3 linked regions of the Elephas maximus indicus genome follow. The protein of the gene in region 2 purifies or fractionates together with the protein of the main gene of each other region. This does not show direct contact. Links are inferred from orthologs where the notes say so. Each region holds a gene or a part of one and is shown on either strand. Other genes may lie near its edges. The genes, in order: NOLC1, TCOF1 and ARRB1.

Region 1 (7,348 bases), on a different chromosome or scaffold from region 2:
CTCTGAGCTTGAATCAGAATCAGAATCAGAGTTCTCAGCTTTCTTGAGGGGAGCTTTGGCTGTCTTGGCTTGGGGCTTAACTTCCTTCTGTTAGGAAACACACAAGTAGGGCAATCAGCAAGTACTTCTGGGTACTCAAAGGACATCCTAGTGTACAGGGCTTTCTAAGCCCTTTTTATTTTTTAACAGATAATGGAGCAGCAAGAGAAAGGGAAAGCTGAGGAGAAAAGCAGATGAAAAAGGCAACCAACTGTTAATGAGAAACAAAAGTTCAGCCACTTGACGTATCAGTTCTATCCCTGCTGGCCCCTGCCAAGAGTTTCCAGTACCTATCTACTAAATGCTCTCTCTTTTATTGTCAGAGCCCCAGACAGTCAATCAGAGAAGCAAAAATACCTCCAGATTTGAAGCCCAACTTCATCTTCGCACATCCGTTCCGGACCTCATACTTCTATTACCTCCCAGAAAGTCACTAGATTTTCTTCCTCACAGTCACCTGCCTCACACCCAGCACCACCTCTTGGTCACAAGCTAGAAGTCAAGAATTTAGGTTTCTTTCCAATTCCATAAGCAACCCCTTCCTTTCCCAAAACTGCAAACCTGGACAGGCTTCTTCTTTTTGTCCTCTTCCTCCTCCTCGTCACTGGATTCTTCACTGCTGCTGCTCTCTGATGCTTTGGCTGCAGCCTTTCCAGGATGCTGAGGAAGACTGGCCTGCTTGGCAGCTATAGCTGAACAGCACAGGCACCAGTAAGAGTTAGCCATGTGGAACAGAAAGGCTACAAATCCTTTTCCTGGAACCACCACCCCAAGCCCCCTGCCCTGCCTTACCAGCCTTTTTAGCTGGAGGCACTTGGGTTTTTTCCTCCTCGCTGCTATCCTCACTGCTGTCACTGGATGAAGTCTTCTTCTTAGCCTTCTGAATTACTGGCCCATTTGCCTGTAACTTCCGCTTTGGGGCCTTAGCAGACCTGCTAAAGTCAATGATGCTAACTTCTGGGGCACCAGGACCTTCCCAAACCAAGGAACACAGCCCAAATCGCCCAGTGGGAGAATACAGACAATGTGGAACAGGGAAAGCTTACTTGAGCCAGAAACTATAGATGTCCAAGAGGGAAGAGGCGTTGGCATCCTGACGGGTCTGTAGGGGAAAAGAAAAAGAGCCAAGCAAAATTTTATACTGGTTATTTTAGGAGAGATCAAATGTTCCGTTATGCTTTAAATGCTACCTACTAATCCTGTGACTAAATTTAGTACAAACATTAAATTTTCATAAGACTGCTCCTACTTGCACACATTAAGGAAAAAAAAATTCCATTTGTATATTTCCCAAAACTTGGGGCATTCCTGTGGTTTGTGGTACTATCTATCTTCCTGCCTATTTATCCACTATCAAAACCTTACAAAACATGCATTCTCTTTACCAATGTGTCATCTAGGAATGTATCCTTACTCATAAAACAAGGGCACAAACATTTATACAAGAAAATGTTTACTGTGTTTGGTTTGTACTACCAAATTGCTGAAAACAAGACTCCAAAAGAAAATTAGTAAATAAGCTACCAGTCGAGTCAATTTCGACTCATAGCAACCCTACAGGACAGAACTGAACTTAATCTCTGAGAGTGTTTTCTTCTCTATAAAATGAAGATAATACTACACACCTCATTAAGTTGATCATAGGATAAAAAATAATGCATATAAAAGAATTAGCATCCAATCCTTAGTAAACTCTCCACGATTAATAGTTTCTGTCTCATAAGACCAAAGAATTCTAACTCTGAAAGACCCAACTCTATCCAACCCATTGCGGAAACACTTTCTGCAGTCCCCCTAACAGTCAATACAAAATTGATCCAATAAAAAAAAAAAAGGGCAGTTATATCAACTTACAAGGCAGGTTATCCCAGCTTAAGGAAGTTCTTTCTGAAGCTGATCTAATCACCTCCTTTCAAAGACTGATTCTGCCACAAAGGACAAACCTACCTTCTCAATCATGTTATTACACATGCTTAAGACTACTATTCTACCCTTCTCTGCAGGGGTTTTCCCATGCAGTCATGTCTGCTTTCATTGAGATGTGGATTCCAAATCTGTCATATTCCTGGTTATCCTTCTCCTACACATGTTTGGAGCATCTAAGTTACCATAACTATATTAACCGTTTTTACTCATTGATGCTTGCAGCACATCAGGCACTAGGATTGCCACTTTGTATACATCATCTGGCTGAAACTCACAAAAATTCTATCAAGTGGATGATGTAGAACTACAAATACTCAGAGAGGTTAGTCAAACTGCCCCGGTTTCTGGGCCTGATCTTAAACCTAACTTTGATTCCATAAGCCGAAACTCTAAGCCCACTGCTATGCCTGCTTGGTAGAGCCATGATATACTCAGCCTTTGTTTCAATATCACTAAGAGCAGAACCCTGCCTCTACTTTCGTTCATTTTCTTCTTTACTCACAAAAACCCTTGCTTTCATTTCTGAAGCAATTTCACTCGTCTTTAAGTCTTGGACAATTGCGAATTACAGGTCAATTCACGCTTTCCCTCGGCTAACGAAAAGCCTAAAAAGCGCCACCAATACCCTTGGACACCAAGCTTCCCCCAAGAACACCGCCAGCCCACGTGACCTGGACCACGCGGGCCCCACACTGCAGCCGTTGCACGGCTCACCAGGAAAATGTAACAAGACTCAGCGCTATCTAGTCAAACCTCGTGAAAAAGGAAGTGCCGAGGCTTTGGACTTTCCCCGGTCACCGCCGAGAGCTCGGCACAAAGGTCCTGCAGACACTCGACTGGCGGATTCCACATACCTCCCTACCCGGAACCCTAAGCATGTCAAGGCCCAGAGCTTTGTGGTCATCCCTCCCCAACCCGCGCCCCAAGCCCGGGACTCACAGCGCCTGTCGCCTTGGCGAACTTGTTAGCCACTTCTGACAGTTGGTTGTCGCGCAAGAAGCCGAGCACTAGGGGATACAGGTCGCTAGGAACCACGCGGCGCAAACCGGCGTCCGCCATCCTCCAGGATACACGCGTCACTACGGTTGCCCACGCAGCACGATTTAGAAACTCAGGAACACAAGGGGGAGGGCTCGCGTGACGTCATTGCGCCGCGCGGGCGCATACCGGAAGTGTGGTATTCTACATAGCAGTCCCACCTCCGCCTCCGAGGTAGGGTCAAGGAGGAAATCTAAAAATTTCTTCCGGTCCTACGCGTGTCGCCATCATGGTAAAGGCGGAGCCCGCCGGCCGTCACTTTGTAGGAGGGGAGCTCTGACGTCAGGAGTCACGCCCTCTGCCGTGGCGGGAAAACTCTGGGCTTCCCGCGCGCTGTCCTTTTGCTGGAGGTGCTTTCAGAGCAGATTCCCGCGCCTCAGCTGGTGAGTGGACTGGCCGGCTCGACCTGTGCTACTGTCTAGACTTGGTCACAAGACTTCCCAACAGCCCCCATTCTCGTTACAGGTGGATTCTCACTCTTCATCTTCACTGTCTCCAACACTCAGGGAGGCCCTTTCTCAGATACCACCCTAGCCTCCAGACTCCCATCTGTCCTTCAGGTTATCCGTGGTGATGAAAGTGTTGATCCCCACAACTTTCCTGTCATGACTTGCCCTACACCTCCCACAGATTTCTAACACATAGGCCTCTCTACCCCAATTACTCAGCCTTAGGTCAGCTCCATGAAAGAAAAAGGATAGTGCACCAAACCTCTGGATCACAGCAATCCCTCCAACCCCTAGTCCAGAAAATAAACCTTGTATCTCTTGGGTCAGAGCTCACACTGTGAACTCTCTGTGGGAGAACTGGGGAACCCCTCCCTTTGTCATGAGTAAACCCAATATCAATGCCCAGGTCTGCCAAGGAAATTCCAATTTCTGCCGTATTTCAAGTCACATTAGCAGACAACAATCCCTTCAATCTGAAGCACTACCCCTTGACTACTTCCTCTTAATGCATCCCCTCAGGAAGGATAAGAATCCACTTCCTCATGGATTTCCTCTTTCTCAAAAGAGGCACTCCCCTCCCCTAGATACAACTCTAGCAGTCCTATTCCCCAGAGAGAAGGTGGCCACATCTGTCCACATACGCGCATTCTTTAAACATCTGGCTGCCTGCAGTGTGTCAAGAATTGTGCTCAAGCTAAAATGGTGAACAAAACAGACGGTGAATGAGAAAACCTTTATTTGCAACAAGTGTGAGCTCTCTCTACATCCTTGGTGAAACAATATCCCCTTGTTAGAAATGTAGAATCTCAGGCCCAATTCCAAAAGGACAAAATCAGAATCTGCATTCTAAACAATCTCCAGATGACTCAAATGCCCTTTAAAGTGTGAGATGCACTGCCTTAGATAGCTGATTTCATAGACAACACACTTCAGGAGTCAGTCAAGTAGAATTTTGTACCTGACCAGAGAAAGGTCCTAGGAACTTAATGGCATGAGTATATCCCTGATTATGTTCAGAAAGGAAAAGTATGTTTGGCAGTAGCATCAAAGAAAGAAACACAATCACACTTGAGAGTTCTCACTAGTTCATGTTTATTAATTAGTCTGCATAGTGACTTAAGATGTTCCGAACACTGGGGGAACCCCTCAGCCCTAACCATCTTACATAGGAATGCAAGTTATCTTGTTTCAATACCTGTTATAAAAAACAAATACCCTTTAAAAAATCTGATTTTACACATTTTTTATTTCACTTTTTTCCATTTCTTTATAAAACAGTCATCTCTTCACTAGCAGCTCTCTCCCCTAGAGTGGGGGAGGGGGATGGAGGAGGTTGGGCACCTCCAAAGAAAAGGGGGGGAGGAGAGCCCAGGGTTACCTCCTGAGGTTCTTCTGGGCCTGTTTCAACAATGTGTCAAAGTCAAGAGAATCGAATTTGCTCTTTACAGGGGCAGGGTCAAAGTCTTCCCGGTTGGAGTCTATAAAGAAAGACCAAATGTCAGGGTTCAAAGGTCTCTGACCACTGCTTCCCAACCGCAGGGTCCTCAAATGGCTAGCCACCTCCCATCCCAATAATGAACGGAGTTAAAACTGCCTTGATTTTAAGTCAAAGAGACACAGGAGAACCCCATTTCTCTTCTGATCTCACCCCTCAGGTTCTTCACATGTCAGATGAAGGTTAAGTCTACCTAGCCCCACACTCAAAGGCTTGGGAAGCCTTCTAGGGAGGCGATGAAATGTGCCAAAACCTCAGGCCCTCCCTGCACTCACCAAGATCAGAATAGCTCCTCTTGCAGAACTGCCTGCGGCCCCCAAAGCAGAGATCAAAAGGCTGTTCGTCAGCCTGCCGCAGCTTGTGGCCACTCTCAATGGCTGCAAATGCCTCCTCGGCATAGCGATAAGTGACGAAGCCGTAGTTGTCACTGGTGGGGAGGGTGAGGCAAGGGCTGGGATGGCCATTTGGGCACATACCATGGAGCAGTGACAGCACCAGGGTACAAAGAGGGTCTGTGGTGCTTCTTCCCACTCCCCAAATAACCAACCCTCTGATCGTAGAAATGAAGGTGCTCTACATTGCCCAGCACACCAAAGCAAGGGGGAAGGATGAAGAAACATCAAGGTAGCTGAATGAGGCAGAAAGAACATCCTGACCCTAGGGCCCAAGCTTACCCTTGGACACGGAAGTGGATGGTGCACTCCTCAATCTCTCCAAAAACCGAGAACCTCTGTTTCAGCTCTGACCGAGTCATGCGGCCAGGTATCTTCCCAATAAAGACCACCCTTCTCTCTTCCTATGTTGGAGCAAGGAAAAACAGACCTGCCATGAGCCAGGATCACAGCTACACTCAGCTCTTTGAGCTCATGGCTCAGAGGGAAGTTCCTCCTTCTCCCATAACTTGCTCCTCTACTCACTATTGCACGCTCCTTCTGCAGCACTCTCTGCCTTTGGTAATGGTCACTCGAACGGTAGGAGCTGTACCTGACAGAAGAAGGTTTCATCAGCTCCCCAGACACAAGACAACCCAAGACTCAACTCTCAGGTGTCTGCATCCCAGGTACACTGCCTCCCTAAACATGCTCACCGTCGCCTCCTGTCACTTCTCCGGCGGGGGGATGGGGAGCGGGAACGGCTTCGAGAACTGGACGAGGAGGATGAGGACGATGAGGAAGATGAGGAGGAGGAGGAAGAGGAAGAGCATCTTCGGGAACGCCCAGAGGAACTGCAGCTGGACCTGGAGGATAAAGGGGCATGCAGGAATGCTTGGAGTAGTGCAGGTATACTCCACTTACCTCACCCTGGCCCCAGCGCTGCCTCCCTGTCTGGAGGCTCAGGACCAGAGGCAAAGCAGAGCAGATGTCTAGAAGAGCACTTTTCTTCACAGATGAACAAACTGAGGCCCTTCAAGAGAACTTTACATATATCTGGTATGTTTTGACAAAGACCATACTTATCTTCAATTGTGCAATTAAAAACTGAAAAATATTTAACAATCAGAAAGAAAAAAAAATAGATAAAGACCCAGAGAGAATAGGAGTGGGCCCTTGGTCTCACAGCCAGCTATCTGTGGTGCTAAGGCCAGACCTGAGTCTCTGGCCTACTGCTCCCTTCCCATGACTCACAGGACTGCTGTGACCATGGCATTGAGGGGAGAAGACTATGCTAGACCTGTACAGGGGCCATTTCTGAAAGCATCTACCACCATCAAAAACCAAGAATTCATTAAGTGGGAAAATTTGGGTTCATTATTAAGAGTAAAGATACTGCCAAGAAATAGATGAGGCCACAGTGATACCCAAAGAAACTGCCCCAAACTCTTTCCTCAATAGATGATTAAGGGAAGGACTATTTCCTGTTAACAACTCACTATCCCGCCTTCCCACATACCACCAGGAAAATGCCATAAATGAGGGCCAATATGATATGTGAGGGGATCAACATGGTCAAGGTAGAACCGTAAGAGTTTCCCCAAGGCAAGTCTCAAGGAAGCAGGGGACCTCAGGGATACCCTATACTCCAACACAGGATAGAAGCTTTCTTCCCAGTTTGTCTCCTTCAACAATCTAGGAAAGGAGACGACAAACGCCAAAGACAGAAACAGAAACCTTAGTGCCTAAAAGTATCAAAGTTAATGTGCAAAAGGTTTCAAAAGAAAACCACAGAGAGGAGTTCATGAAGCTCCTAAACAGAGTGGACCTAACAGGCCACCAGAGCTCACCTTCGCCACCTCTTGTGTGGGGGGGAGAGGGACCTGGACCGGGAACGGGATGAGGAAGACGACGATGAGGATGAGGAAGAAGATGCTTCGCTGGTCCCGTTGGACCCAGAGCTGATAGAATGGCTGCTGCGGCCGCGGCGGCCCTGCCAGCCCCGGCTTGGGGGGCTGGCTGACCTGCAG
Region 2 (7,325 bases):
ATGTCATCACTCTGTTCTTGATCTCAGTGAGTGGCCCATTCAGCCACTCAAGCAGAAACCTGGGCATCATCGCAAATTCTAGCTGCCAGCCCTCCCTGACCTCAGGCTTTGGTTCTAGGCCTCGTCGTGGCCCAGTCCACAAAGCTTTCCACTATTTCCCTGAAAACTAACCCCATCTGCCTTCAATTCCTTTCCTACCCAGCCTAGATCCCAGAGTCCAGCGATTCAGCATCTCTTTTGCCAACACTTTAGACCCCTATGCCTTTTCCCCCACTCATTTGGCAAAACTCTAGGCCTGGAGTAAGTACCTTCCATTTGCCTGCATCTGGGCAGCTGAGCCCTGCTGAAGGAAATCACTCAGCAAAACAAGACAGGACTCACATAAATGAATGACCACCAGCCTCAACAGGGTTGTTAACACTACCAGGCAGTTGTGTTTTTTGTGGGCAAGTTGCTTCTCAACTCTGAATGATCACTCTCCTCCTTCCTTCAAGCTCCTCACCACCTCTTCTTCCCTCTCAGCAGAAGACCTTGCCTCCCACTTTGCAGAATAAATAGAAGCTGAACATGAAATCTCCCTCAGCATCCCACTGCAAACCTACATCTACATCTGCACCGTCCTCTCTTTGTTCCCTCTTTTGGTTCTGCAGAAGTCATCCCTCCTCCTCTCTAAGACCAACCCTCCACCTACACGCCTGATCCTATCCCCTGGCACATGCTGGTTGAAGACTACTCCATGATTATCTCCCCTATTTCTTACACCCTTGATTAATCTCTCCCCTTGATCTGCCACTAGTTTTAAGCAGACTCGGGTCTCCTCCACCTTAAAACACACCACCTTCCAACACACACATTGACCACATCATTTGTCTCCTCCCCATTCACACAAACACACACACACATGCCAACAAAAGACCCACTGCCTCCTTCATCTCCCCTCCACTCATCAGACCACAGCCATCTGACCCTCACTCCACAGAAGTAGCACTCTCTCAGGACACCAATGGAGTCCTGGGGTGGTATAAACAGTTAATGAACTTAGCTGCTAACCAAAGTTTGGTGGTTCAAGTGCACCCAGAGGTGCCTCGGATCTACTTCTAAAAAATCAGCCATTGCAGCCCTATGGAGCACAGTTCTACTCTGACACACATGGGGTCACCATAAATCAGAATCAACTCATTTGCAACTGGTTTTAAGGCTACCAGCAATCTCCATGCCTGTCATGAAATTGAGGCCCACTGCTCATTCCTCACCATTGGTTCATCCTACTCATCTCTCTGGCTCCTCATTCTCAGGCTTTGCAGCCTTTTGTTGCTGCTGTTAGCTGCCAAGTTGGCCCCTGACTTATAGTACCCCATGCACAACAAAACTAAACTCTGCCTAGTCCTGTGCCATGATTAGTTGCAGACTGAACCATTGTGATCCATAGAGTTTTCATTGGTTGATTTTCAGCAGTAGATTGCCAGGCTTTTCTTCCTTGTCCATCTTTAGGCTGGAAGCTTTGCTGAAACCTGTTCAGCATCATAGCAACACACAAGCTTCCACTGACAGGTGGTGGCTGTGCATGAGGTCCATTGGCCAGGAATCGAACCTGGGCCTCCCACATGGAAGGCAAGAGAATTCTACCACTTAACCACCAACATAACCCCCTATCTCTCTTTAGGAAGACCTAACCTGTGGGCATGTCTCAAAACTCCACCCTGGGCCACCTTGTCTTCTCCCTCTACCTTCGGCTCCCTGGACAATCTTGTCCTCAACCACAGTCTCAATTATCATCTCTCTGGGGACAACTTCCCACCTTCATCTCTAGCCCAGACCTCTGTACTGAATCCAAAGCCAGGTTTCTACATGCCTATTCCACATCCACACTTGGTGTCTCAGTGGCATTTCAAGCTCAACATGTCTAAAGTGGAACTTAAACTTTTCACCTCCTCCTTCATACCGCCCCTCCTCGCTCATCCTCGCTCAACTCTCTCACCCCAGTCCTCTTCCAGTTTTTCCTATCTTGGTGAAAGTTACTGTCCACCTGTTTGCACAGAAACCTCAAAGTCCATCCTGACTTCCTCTCCTCACCCTCCTATTCCAGCACATCTCTATGATGATTTTACTTCCTGAATAACTCTAGGAAACTTCCACTGCTCTCCAACTCCACTGCCATCCCCCCATCCCTCACTTTGGCCACCATTATATCCCTTCTGGATGCCTCTCTGCACCCCTAACCCTAACCAGTCTTCCCTCATTTACTTAGATGCTTTCTACTCAACTCTCTAGCGGGCATTTACACTGGTCACCCTTAATGTGGCCAATCCTGAATGGAGAACCTGCCCTCTGCTCACCTTCTGCACTTCCCAAGCTACAAAGACCTTCCCTTCCCTCTCCTCTCAGTTGCACTCCTGCCGCAGACCCTTTGAAAAGGTTTTTCCTTCTGCCCAGGATTCTTCCCCCCACCCCACCCTCCCCTAGCCATAGTTCAGATTTCCTCACAAACCCTATTTCCTCAGGGAACCCTTCCCTAACCCCCAAGAAAAGGTAGATCCCTCCCTCCTGTTAAATGCTTTTGCAATAATAGGTAACACATGCACACAGTATTTACTGTTAGGAGTTCTTCTAAGCATTTCTGCTTGATATTCATTTACTCCTCAGGACAACCCTATGAGGTAGAAATTATAATTATCTCCATTTTACAGATGAAGTAACTGAGGCCCAGAGAACTTATATCACTTACCCAAGGTCACCTAGTCAATAAGAGGCAAAGCCAGAATTTGAACCCGGGAGGTGCAATTCCAGCAGCTTTTCAACATTATACTACTCAGTGAGGAAATATTATCTTTTTCCTTCCTGCACTTATTGGAGTTTGTAACAGTGTATTTGTATGAGTATTTATTTAACATGCATCTCCCGCATTAGACTGTAAGCTCTGTGGGGTAGAGACTGTTTCACCCCCAACCATAGGTGCTCAACGAATATTTGTTAAATGGCTGAAAGTAGATTAGTCTTCTCCTCTTCCTCACTCACCACACCCAATCAGTTACCTGGTCCTGTTCATGTTTCTTCCTGGAGCGGAGTTTCCTAACCCTAGCAAGTTTAGGTACGTGCTTATCTGTGTCCTGAAATTGGGTGGAAAATCCGATGTGTCCGTAAAAAAAAAAAAAAACACACTTTCAAAATTTTCTAGAGCAAGGGCTGTGCTTCCTGCTGTCATCAGATTCTCAAATGGACCCAAGAGGTTAGGACTAGCTGACTCAAATATTCCCCAGCCCAGCTCACCCTCTCCCTGCCACCTCCCCTCAACACTACAACAGCCCACATCTAGTTTTGTTCCCCACAAATCCGTCTTCCATGCTTTGGTCATAGCAATCTTTTCACAATGCAAAACCATATCACACTCTTGCATAAAGCCAAGGGGAGGCTGTCCATTGTCCTTGGAACAAAGTCTGAACTGCTGGGATTGAAGAGGGTTTTGTAGGCCCTGTCTGCTTCTCCTCATGTGTCCCCAGTTGTTTCCTCTTCCCCCAACTCTACAGACAAGCAGCACAGAACCAGGTTCTGTGCTCTGGATTCCCAGCCTACACCAGGTGGTTTCTTATGCCTATACTCATGCGTTGCCCTCTTCTTGGGATGCCAATACTCTAAACCTAGAAATTTCTACTCCACCTTTAAGATTCAGTTATTTTAAACTCCTCCTTGGGGTTAGATACCCCTCCTCCGTGTTCCCATAGGCTGTTCCTATTCCTGACAACTGCACACGAGGCGTTGAACTGTAGTTGCTTGGTTACCGACTGTCTCTCTCTGCCCTGCAAGCTTTGAGGGCGGCCGCCATGTCTTATTCATCTTTTTATTCCCTCTGCCTAGCCCAAGGTACGGTACTTATTTGTTCAGTAAGTAAATTAATATATGAATAAACTAATAACAAACAGTGCCTGGTTCATAGATCCTAAAAAAAAAAAACGTGTGAAAAGAGTAAATGAGCGGGCAACTGGAATTCGAGTTTAGAAAAGATGCAGATTAGGGCGTTCAGAGATGAATAAAGCCCAGTCGCAGCGGTCATACAAATCACTTCAAGGAACAAGTCTAAATAAAGGATTCCCAGGAGGGAGTCCTTCGTAGCATGGCCCAACCAGGAGGCGGGGCCAGATCAAAGCCCTCCCATTCCCTCTGCAATCGGAGATCTCTTGCCTTCTGAGCCTCCGCCCCTTTCACCCTCCAGGACCTGAGCGGCCGCTCAAGGATAAAAGACTACATTTCCCGGAGTGCCATGCGGCTGTGGCGAAGGAGGAGCCGGAAGTGGGGTGCGCGAGGTCTAAGGGCAAGAGGGAAGTGGCGGGCGGGGACTGGGGGGGCGTGCAGGTGAGCGGAGTAGCCAGGGGTCGCGGGCATGGCCGAGGCCAGGAAGCGGCGGGAGCTGCTTCCCCTGATCTACCAGCATCTTCTGCAAGCGGGCTATGTTCGCGCAGCGCGGGAAGTGAAGGAGCAGAGCGCCCAGGTGAGCTTGCGAGTGCCGTGTGCGAGGCCCACGTGCAGGATCGGCAGCGCAGCAGCTGGTGCCCCCTACCCAGGCGACAAGATGGGTGCCCAGACCCGGATTCTCCTGTTCTCAGGGACGCGGGCCGGGGGAGCTCTAGTAGCTACAGCCTCAACCATCGCTGCAGCTCTTACTCTCTGTAGGCCTCAGTTTACCCATCTGTGCAGTGGGCGGGCCGGGACCGGTGATCCAACGCTTTAGGGCTTTTGTAATTCCCGCGCCGCTCGCCTCTGCTCCCTTCCTGGGAGCAGCAGTTTAAAGTTTCTTAAGTCTCAGACCACGTGGCCCCGCGCGGCCTCCTGGGGCAAGTAGTTGGCCACGGGTTTGAGGGGCGAATTGTGACCACCTCCAGGAGGGACCGCCAAGGGAAGGGGCTCCACAGTAGAGCAGGAACTCAGACCTTTAGAGAGCCTCTGTACAGAGTTGGACAGCTTTGGGGTTAGAACTGGTGGCGCAGTCTTTTCTCACTTCATTCATTCAGCAGCTGTTAACCTGCTGGTGATAGAATGGCGGTCTCGGTCCTTCAGCCCCAGTGGAGTTTACGATCTAGTAGAGGAGACAGACACAAATCACGAAAGTACCTGTAAACTTAACACTACATGAAGTTACAAGAAGGAGAGGCACAGCGTGCTAAAACAGTGTATGGCAGGTTGCCCTTGTCTCAAGAGATACCTGAGACTGCTGCCCTCAGGAAGTCACTGTTGATTTGAGATCTGAAGGGGGAAGGTGAATATTCCAGGCAGAGGTGCAAATGCCCCGTGGTAGAAGAGAGGTTGATTTTGTACATACTGACCTCAAGAAAGGTCCCTGAGGCTACAGCACGGAGGACCAGGGCAATAGAGGTCCCCAGAGAGATGAGAGAGGGAGGTGGGGGCTGGCCCAAGCAGGTCTTGTAGTTAGTTTGGTCTTAAGCCAAAAAGCAGTGGGAAGCCACTGGAAGGTTTTAAACTGGTGACTGAGGGGGCCTGATTTGTCAATATCCCAGGGCCTCCTGAAGGGATCAAAGGGTGATGGGCCCTGAGATGTTATCTATGCTTTTCCCAATCCTCCCTGAGCCTTGGAGCGTATGCCTAGGAAAATTGTCCTGCCATCCTGGAACATACATTCCAGCAAACGACATGTAAAAAGTAAGTTAGTGGTACAGAGTGTCATGTGATAATAGGTGAGGGCTATAAAAATTAAGCAGCAAGGGTGATTAAGGAGTGTCAGGGGTGCAATTGTAAATTGGGTAGTCAAGGAAGCCTGACTGAAAAGGTAACATTTTGGGCAGAGACCTAAAGGAAATGAGGGAGTGAGCTATGTAGTTAGCAGGAGAGAGAGCATTCCAGACCCTGGTAGGGGTGGAGTAGGGGGTGGCCTGCCACATTTAAGGGACAGTGAGGAGGCTGGTGTGCTTGGGTGGGAGCAGAGTGAGGCTAATACGTGCTGTCTCAGATGTTATGGAATGTCTTAGTTATCTGGTGCTGCTGTAACAAATACCACAGGTGGGTGGCTTTAACAAACAAAAATTTATTTTCTCATAGTTTAGGAGCTAGAAGTGTGAATTCAGAGCTCCAGCTTTAGGGGAAGGGTTTCTCTCTCTGTTAGCTCTGGAGGAAAGTCCTTGGCTCTTTTTAGCTTCTGTCCTTCCCTTAGTGATCATCATGTGTCTTGGCATCTGTCATGCCCCATCTCGGCTTCTTTCCCTTGCTTGTTTAATCACTTTCATATCTCAAAAGGACTTAAGACACACCTGCCTCATTAACATAACAAAGGCAACCCATCCCAAGTAGGATTATAACCACAGGCATAAAAGTTAGGATTTACAACACATATTTTTGGAGGACACAATTCAATCCATAACATGGAAGGGACCTGAATTTGGAAAAGTTAGCCCAGGGTTACCTAGTCAGTTAACAGAGAACTGACTCCAATCCAGGCCTGCCTGACCCCTGGAACACACTGTTGGCCACTCTGCCCAGCCACCTGAGCTCTCCACCCTCACCCCACACTGCTCACCCAGCCTCCTTGGAACTTGAGGTGCTTGGCATTTCCAGAGTTGGCCTTCTGTCCTCAGTTCCAAAGTCCTGGATTCCACCTGGTGTTCTCTGCTTCCACCAAGAGACTGGCACCATTTGGGCCCAGCCTCTTCATAGTGAACTGCTAGACTGAGGTTGTGCCGCTGGAATGCCTTGGGTATCTGGACTATGGTTCATACTGTCTGGGGAGATCCACCAGCCAAACTTTTGAAGGCCTCTTGAAAGGTCAAGGGTGGAAAAAGCCCCATCTTATGGCCTGTGAGGGTGAAGAGTACCAGAGAGGCCAGGAGCTGGGTGAATGCTAGCCTGGAACACTCCAGCTCCAGCCTCTCAAACGTGCCTCTCACCAACATGTCTAAAAAGGTTTTAGCTGGAATTGCTTGGCTTGATTGTTTCTGGAAGGTTTTGAATGGTATTGGCAGGGCTAAACAGACATGTTTCTCAGAGCAAAAAGACTCCCTTCTCAACCACCTGTCTGTTCTCATGTCATGAGGTCAGGCAGAGTTGGGACCAGGGAAGGCCTCCCCTGCTGGGAGGTTAATTGCTACCTCTCTTTATCTCTCTGCAGAAAAGTTTCCCGACTCAGCCGGTCACCCTTCTGGACATCTACACACACTGGCAACAGTGAGTTTGGTGGGGCTGAGGGTGGAGTAGGGGCACCCCAAGCAATTGGCTTGGAATAAGTCAGGAAACTAACCTGATCTAAGATGGGTCCCCAAGCCCACTGTGGACATAGCTCCCAGAAAGCCAGATCACATGGATAGATATTTCTTTTGATCAGCATT
Region 3 (7,046 bases), on a different chromosome or scaffold from region 2:
ATTAGTCCCATTCAGGTCTTTGTCTCTTTCACCCTTGGTCCTGGGAGTTCCTAGAGGTCAGTGGCAGTTTCTGATTAATTTGTATTGTCACTTTCATACAGGGGGTGCAATCTGAGGCAGAGGGATGCACGTGATGGCTCCTGATCCTTAGAGTATTGGGTATTGGCAGTTTCCTCTTCTAAGTCATCAAGTAGAATCCTAAGGCTTAGGAAACAAGGCAGGGCATGGCCCATTATTGATTTTGCCCTTTTCTACCAAATTACTCAGATTACCTGTCTGGAAAGGGAGAGAGAGGCCTCCTGGGACTGTGGTGGTGGCTGAAGGGAGGATCATCTGGTGGAGTTTAGCCAGGCCTTGGCTCTAGACTTCAGTCAGGGCCATCTTTCCTCCCAGTGGATTCAGTAAGCGCAAGGAATCCACACACTGTGAACTCAATAAGCACAATTCACAGCTCCAATTTACAGATGGGAAAACTGAGGTCCAGAAAGCTGAAGGCAATTGCCCAAGGTCCCCGAGTTTCTGTACCGAATTAGAGGCACAGTGGAGGAGTGATGGAAAAAGCCCTGGCTCCAGAGACAGGGTCTCCAACAGGTGCCCATTGGGGCCTGACTGCTCATGGTGAACGCATTCTGCCAACAAGCCAGCAGGGGAGCAATGACACTTCTCCCCAAGTCACCAAGAGGCAAACCAAGGCCCAAGAGGGGCTGAATCACCCTGATCATGAAGCAGCACTGGCGGAACACAGGACAGGAGCTATGACTCCTGGCCCCCACTGTGTCCTGCAGGGAGAACGCAGGAGTCACACACCCTCCTGCTGAGGACAGACAGCTGGACACAGTGCTGGCCAGGCCTTCTTTGATGGAGAGTAGCCGTCAGGGTGAATGCAGATGCTCTGTGACCTTTCGCAGCTTCCCCCATAAGCCTGGGCCCCACACACAGAGCAAGGTACGCCACCCTGTCTCCCCAACCCAGGGCCCATGAGGGGCTTGGCAATGCCCAAAAGGGAGCCACAGAGAAACAGAGCAGGTGGGTTCCAGCCTCTACCCTGCCTCTGACCCCTCTTGACCTTAGGCAAGCCAGGTGACCTCTCTAATGCTCCAGTTCATCTTTTGGAAAACGGGAAAAGGAAAATTAACCTCCTGGAAGAGCTGTCAGGAGAATGGTGGAGAAGCAGTTTCTAAACACTAAAAGGATAAGTTATCTCTGAGCCTCAGTTTCTTCTTCCAGAAAATGGAAATAATTTCTGTAGGACCTTTCTCCTGCTACTGAGATCTCAGAAGGCAGTGGGTAAGAAACTGCTTTGTCAGTGGTCCGGAAGGTGACGACCACTAGTGCGGTTTCTCTCTAGTCCGTTAGCTCCTTCCGGGAAGGAATGCATCTTGCAAGTCTTTGACCCCACACTGTGCCTAGTACACAGTAGGCTCTCAATAAATAATTGCTGGAAAGAAGGAGAGAGAGGGAGGGAGGGCTGAGGGAAAGAGAATGGAGGGAGGGAGGAGGGGGGGAGAAGTGGGACCGGGGATAGAAGGTAAAGAAGGGACAATTGAAAAAGTCCAAGTAGCAAAAAGGGGTAGGAAAGAGGAAGAGACAAGGGAGAGACTGCTAGCAGAACCTAAGGGGGCGGAAAGAGTGGTAGAGATAGAAGCAGGGTGACAAAGCTGAATACCAGACCAGGGCTTGTCTTGGTCCCACAGGGCTGTTCCCAGGGGCTACCTTGCCCCAGCCCCCGCCCCTGCCCCTTTTGTCCCAGTTTCCCGTTTCAGATGCATAACTTCTCTGGTTCCTAGTCTAATCTTCTAGGGCAGGCTCCTATCTAGGAGCCCCTCTCCCCATCTCTAGCTCAAAACAGATCCTGGCCAGCCACCCCAGGCCTCAGGAGGTCAGAGGGAAAGGAAAAGAGTCCATAGGACCTGTTTTTCCCAGGCTCCAGGCGAGGCGCCCCCACCCTGTGTGATGTATATGTGTTTCCATTTCTTACCATGTGGGGACTGGAGGGAGTGTGTCAGCAGCCCCGTGGTCGCTTGCTGGTGCCTATGGGGTGCCAGTCTGTGTGGGCATCAGTCTGACGTGTGTCTGTGTGGGTCAGTGTTGGTGTGGTCTTGCGTTCCACCGTGTTGGTGAGATCTGTGCTAGCACAGGTGTGTCTGGTCAGTGAGGGTGACAACGCGTGTGCCAGTAAAAGTATTACAGTGAGTGCAAGTGACAGTGTGCATGTGTGTCACTGAGGGCCAATGTTTGTGCGCCAGCATGAGGTATTAATGTTTCTATGTTTAGGTGTGTACCCACCTATGCCAGCATGACTGTCAGCATGAATGTGTTGCCAAATGTATACCACAGTGTGTATCTGGGAGTGTGTGACAGTGTGTCACTATATGTGATAAGTGTGTGACAGTGGATGTCATTGTGTGTGCTGTCATGAGTGTGCCCATGAGTGCGTGTGCCCCGTGTGTCCACATGAGTGTGTGCCATTGTGTGTCAACCTGCCCCCATGCGTCTCTGCGCCTGCCTGGCCAGGGCTGGGTGTCAGCGCGTGAGTGAGTGTGTGTGTGTTTCGGTAAGGAGCCGCGAGGCAGCTGGGGCGGCCCGGTCCTCACCCTCTGGGTACCCCCGCCTGCGGCCCCTGCCAGTGACCACACAAGAGACCCCTGGCAGAGGTGAGCAGGGTCCCGCGGACTCAGGCGTCAGCGGTCCTGGAGTGACTGCAAACGCAGCGCCAGGACGCGGACTACAACCTTCGCCTCTGCTATCGCCTAGGCCGCCCCCCCCGCGCGCCAGACCAGGCCACCGATAGCACTCACCGTGTCCCTTTGTCGCCCATGGTCCGTGGCGGCGGCAGGGAGGTCCACGGCTTCAGCGTACCGGCTGGAAAATCCCCGGCCGGCAGGAGGAGTGCGGGCCAGCCCGCTCCCGACTGCCTGCTCCGCCTCCTCTGCTCGCCCGGCCACCGCCTCCTCCCCCGCCCTCGTCCAGGTCCCCGCCTGCAGCCCAGCAGCGCCGCGCCGCGCAGAGCCCGGGCCGCGGCCAGGGGCGTGGAGCCGACCGGGGTGTGTCTGTCCGTGTGTGTGTGTGTGCGTGTGTGTATCTGTGTGTGAGTGCGTGCGTGTGTGTGTGTGCGCGCGCGCGCGCGCGCGTGCACCGCCCAGAGAGCCGCGAGGGCAGGGCAGCGATACACGTCAGGGCCCCGAGGTCTGCATTTGCCGGTATACAAGGGTGCGTGCCCAACTGTGTGCGCGTACGTGTGTGTGTGCGTGAAGATACACGCCGGCTTGGGTATATGTGTGCGGTGTGTGCACACGAGAGTATATGCCGCCTTGCAGTGCGTGGACACGGCGGTGTGCGCGGGCCTATTTGGGAGTGTATTTGTGTGGATGGAGGAGTGTGCACGTCTTCATGCAGTTGTGCGTGTGTACGCACTGCCGTGGGTACTAGTGAGCTGTCCCGCGCACACTGGAGACAGCCTTTGTGTGTGCTTGTGGGTGGAAGCCGAAGGTCGGCGCACCCCGGGGCCAAGCCCCTGGCGGCGCCCCCCGGCGGGGGTGAAGGGAATTGGCTTGAGACTCCGCATGCCTGGCAAGGCCCTCGCCCTATGCAACCCCCTACTTGAGAGATAACACCCAACCACCCAATAGAGGCAGGAAGAAGGGACAGAGAGGGCAGGCGAAAACAACATCGATATTGGGGAACTGATGAGGGTGGAAGGGGGCGGGAGGCGAGCAGGGCAGCGGGAAGAGGAAGCTGTGAGAGGAGGAGATAAGGAGTATGTGAAGGGAGCAAAGAACCTTCGGGGCTGCGAGCCAGGAGGCTGGCCTGGCCCGGTAGCATCGTGGAAGGCGCTCTGGTCCAGCTCCACCACCAGCTGTTGGTGACCCTGGACAACAGGCCTCTCAGTGCCAACTTCCAAATCTTTAAAGTGGGAATACCAATACTGTCCCTCAGAATTGTTCATAGATTTTAAAAATTTGCTTGTGTTTGCCGGACTCCCCCTGAGGGCCTGGCACACGGTAGGTACCCAGTAAATGTTGGCTCATCCCTCTCCAGACTTCTTGGTGTCCAGGGAAATGGCTGGCTGAGACCCTGATTTGTAGGTAGTGGGAGAGTGTGAGGTCTTTTCCACCCCCGCTCTGCTGGGATTTGGCTAATTGGCCCTGATGGGTCCCTAATATTGGCGTATTAGTGGGAGGAAAGGAAGCTATCATTTACTCTGATGCGATTGTGGGTCTGTAAACATCTCCTGTAATTATGCTCAGAAGCAGTTACCTATGCTGGTTTTATATATAGTTGGGTAATGATATCCCAGTATAATTACCATAATTATGTCTAGATTGGGAGGGGTGAACTGATGGGCAGGCAGGGTGGTCCAGGCTCCAGGCAATGCTAGGTGCAAGGAGAGTGTGCACTTAGGCCTAGAACCCTCCTCCAGGCCTTGACCTCTGGGCCCCATTCTCCTTCCAAAGAGAAAGAAGGGGAAGCCCCTGCTGTTTCTGCAGGGGTCAGGAATCTTGAGAACAGCAGACCATAGTTCTCCTATGATGACAAGAGACTCACTGGGTGAGCCAGAGAGGACCCTAACAGGATGCACAGGCCAGGTCTTACCACTCTCTGCACCCCAAGCTCCCCACTTCTAAAGCGTGGGTTCGACCAAACCACATGGTCTCCAGTGGCTCTCCCCATGCTGATGCTAAAGCACCTTTGAACTTTATTTAAAAATTCAGGCAGACTTTTTTTCCTGACTTTTTTTTTTTTTTTAATTGTTATAAAAATGCATGCAATACATTTGTCAGGCAAATTCTTAATTCCACTCAATAAATACTTATGTTCATTTTACTACAAAAATCACATTTTTAATTACGTTCAAGTAAAATAAACAGTCTAGGAAGATGCATCAGATGGTTTTGGGCTCCCCGCCCCCACACCCAATCCAGAACAGCTCTTTCCAGCCGGTTTGAGAAGCCTGACTCTAGCATTGTAGGGACATTGAACAGATTGGCAGACTATGGAGTCAACAGTCAAGGTTTCCAGTACATCTCCACTAGCCTGTAAACTTCATGAGGGGGTGTATGGTGTGTCTGGCACTACTTGAGGCTCAAAATTATGTGAAATAAATATTCTTTTCCCCATTTTATAAATGAGTGAATGGATGCTCAGAGAAGCTAAGTAATTTGCTTGAGTCCATAGCCTCCTTTGGACCTCCCTTCCTTGTGCCCTCCCCAAAACGGAGCTAATACATAGTAGACCAGAATTTAACCCACAATTTATTCTTCATTCAATAACAGTTTATTGAAGACCCACTATGTGCTAAGCATGGTTCTAGGAACTTAAAAATCAGTGGCCAAGAAGACAAATGCGGCTTTCATTTCAATGAGGAATCTAAGCTGGGGGAAGAGGAGTAAGAAGAGTATTTTGCTTTACCTGTCAAGCTCTGTTGTTGTTGTTGTTAGATGCTGTTGAGCCTGTTCTGACTCATAGTGACCCTATGCACAACAGAACAAAACACTGCCTGGTCTTGCACCATCCTGGCAATTATTGCTATGCTTGGGCCCATGGTTGCAGCCACTGTGTCAATCCATCTCATCGAGGGTCTTCCTCTTTTTCGCTGGCCCTCTATTTTACCGAGCATAATGTCAGTCTTCAGGGATTGATCCCTCCTGATAATATGTCAGGCTCTATGGAGAATGTATTCTGGTATTACCTGTAAAATCAAAATTAATATACACTTAAAAATAGTGACATTGAGGAGAACTCTATAAATATAAATAACATGATTTAAGACAGTAATAAGTATTATGAAGAAAATAAAATGGTAATAAAATAGAGTGCCTGGGGGCCAGTGTACTTACAGAAAGGCTCTTCAAGGAGATGACATTTGGGCTAAAACCTGTAGGTAAGGAACCAGCGATGTGAAGAGTCAAGGGAAGAGCTTCCCAGGAAGAAGGAGCAGCAAGTACAAAAGCTTGGCCTTTCTAATGGGCAAGAACAAGGACTATGTGGCTGGATTTGGGTGAACAGGGAAGGAAGGAGTGGTAGACCAGAAGCTGGCGGGGGTCAGATCAGGTAATGCTTTATAGGTGCGGGTGAGGAGTCAGGGAGCCAGTGGAGGGTTTAGGCAGGAGTAACAGTATCTGCTTTACATTTTAAAGGTCACTCTGGCTGTTGAATGGATACAACTTGGATTGAGACAAGAGCAGATACAGGGCGCCACATTATTGTAGTAGCCAAGAAAGAGTGGGTGGTGGTTTGGGCTAGTATGGTGGCACAGAAATGAAAAGAAGTAAGAAGTTCAGATATATTTGGAGGCAGAGCCAACAGCACCTGCTGAGGCGTTGTCAGTGGACTGTGGAGAATCCAAATGACTCAGAGATTTGGGGCAGGGCCTGTTTGTTCCAGCGTCCACACAGGCTACATCCCCACATATGGGAAGTGAGGTTGTGAGGACTGGAGTACTCCTTCCTTCCCATCTCAATCCATTTCTAATACATCCTCTAGCTGAACACCAGAGTGATTTTTCTAAAAGGCAAAAGGATTCTATTACTGAGGTCCATAGGAGTTGGTCATCTCCGACTATGTCTCAACTTGGGCCAGACATATGCCTGAAATTTACCACTTAATAATAATCCCTTACCCAAAAAAAGAGAGAGAGAAATGAAGTATTATTCCTGCTTCATATATGAGAAAGCAGAGGCTTTAAGAGGGAAAGGGCCTAGGCCAATGATATAGTAAATGAAAGGTAAAGATTGGGCTCAAACCCAAAGCATCTGCTTACCTGGTCATGTCGTTGAATGTCAGATTGAAGAGTGGATGGATAGGTGGGTGGATGGGTAAGTGGATGAGTTTTCAGCTCCTTGTTCAACAAAGGATTTGAGGTTGACAGCCCTTTGAGATGTTAGTAGATAAGAAACTAAGGACCTTCACCACCTCTGCCCCAACCGCAAATCTGGATGTCATCCTGGACACCTCCCTTGCCCACTTCAATCCGTAGCAACCCAGTCCCAGAATTCTCCCTTGTAAATATTCCTCGGTAAAGCTGGGAAGCAGGCAAGAGCCCATGC

Evidence for each region.
Region 1: the proteins of TCOF1 (region 2) and NOLC1 purify together in Homo sapiens (affinity purification with western blotting; 4 studies listed by BioGRID and IntAct, with this or other methods). This does not show direct contact. The link is inferred for Elephas maximus indicus from reciprocal best matches to the Homo sapiens genes TCOF1 and NOLC1.
Region 3: the proteins of TCOF1 (region 2) and ARRB1 purify together in Homo sapiens (affinity purification with western blotting; 5 studies listed by BioGRID and IntAct, with this or other methods). This does not show direct contact. The link is inferred for Elephas maximus indicus from reciprocal best matches to the Homo sapiens genes TCOF1 and ARRB1.

The regions. Positions count from the first base shown.
Region 1 is NC_064834.1:53,751,820-53,759,167, reverse strand, and holds the start of NOLC1 (nucleolar and coiled-body phosphoprotein 1), read right to left. Parts: upstream 3,093-7,348; 5' UTR 3,025-3,092; coding exon 2,905-3,024; intron 1,142-2,904; coding exon 1,086-1,141; intron 975-1,085; coding exon 832-974; intron 732-831; coding exon 601-731; intron 88-600; coding exon 1-87. Other genes in the region: PPRC1 (peroxisome proliferator-activated receptor gamma coactivator-related protein 1), read right to left, coding at 4,827-4,930, 5,223-5,374, 5,622-5,743, 5,865-5,931, 6,035-6,184, 7,169-7,348. UniProt on the Homo sapiens protein: Nucleolar protein that acts as a regulator of RNA polymerase I by connecting RNA polymerase I with enzymes responsible for ribosomal processing and modification.
Region 2 is NC_064820.1:165,574,163-165,581,487, forward strand, and holds the start of TCOF1 (treacle protein), read left to right. Parts: upstream 1-4,318; 5' UTR 4,319-4,375; coding exon 4,376-4,483; intron 4,484-7,108; coding exon 7,109-7,164; intron 7,165-7,325.
Region 3 is NC_064825.1:47,153,232-47,160,277, reverse strand, and holds the start of ARRB1 (beta-arrestin-1), read right to left. Parts: upstream 3,046-7,046; 5' UTR 2,819-3,045; coding exon 2,799-2,818; intron 1-2,798. UniProt on the Homo sapiens protein: Functions in regulating agonist-mediated G-protein coupled receptor (GPCR) signaling by mediating both receptor desensitization and resensitization processes.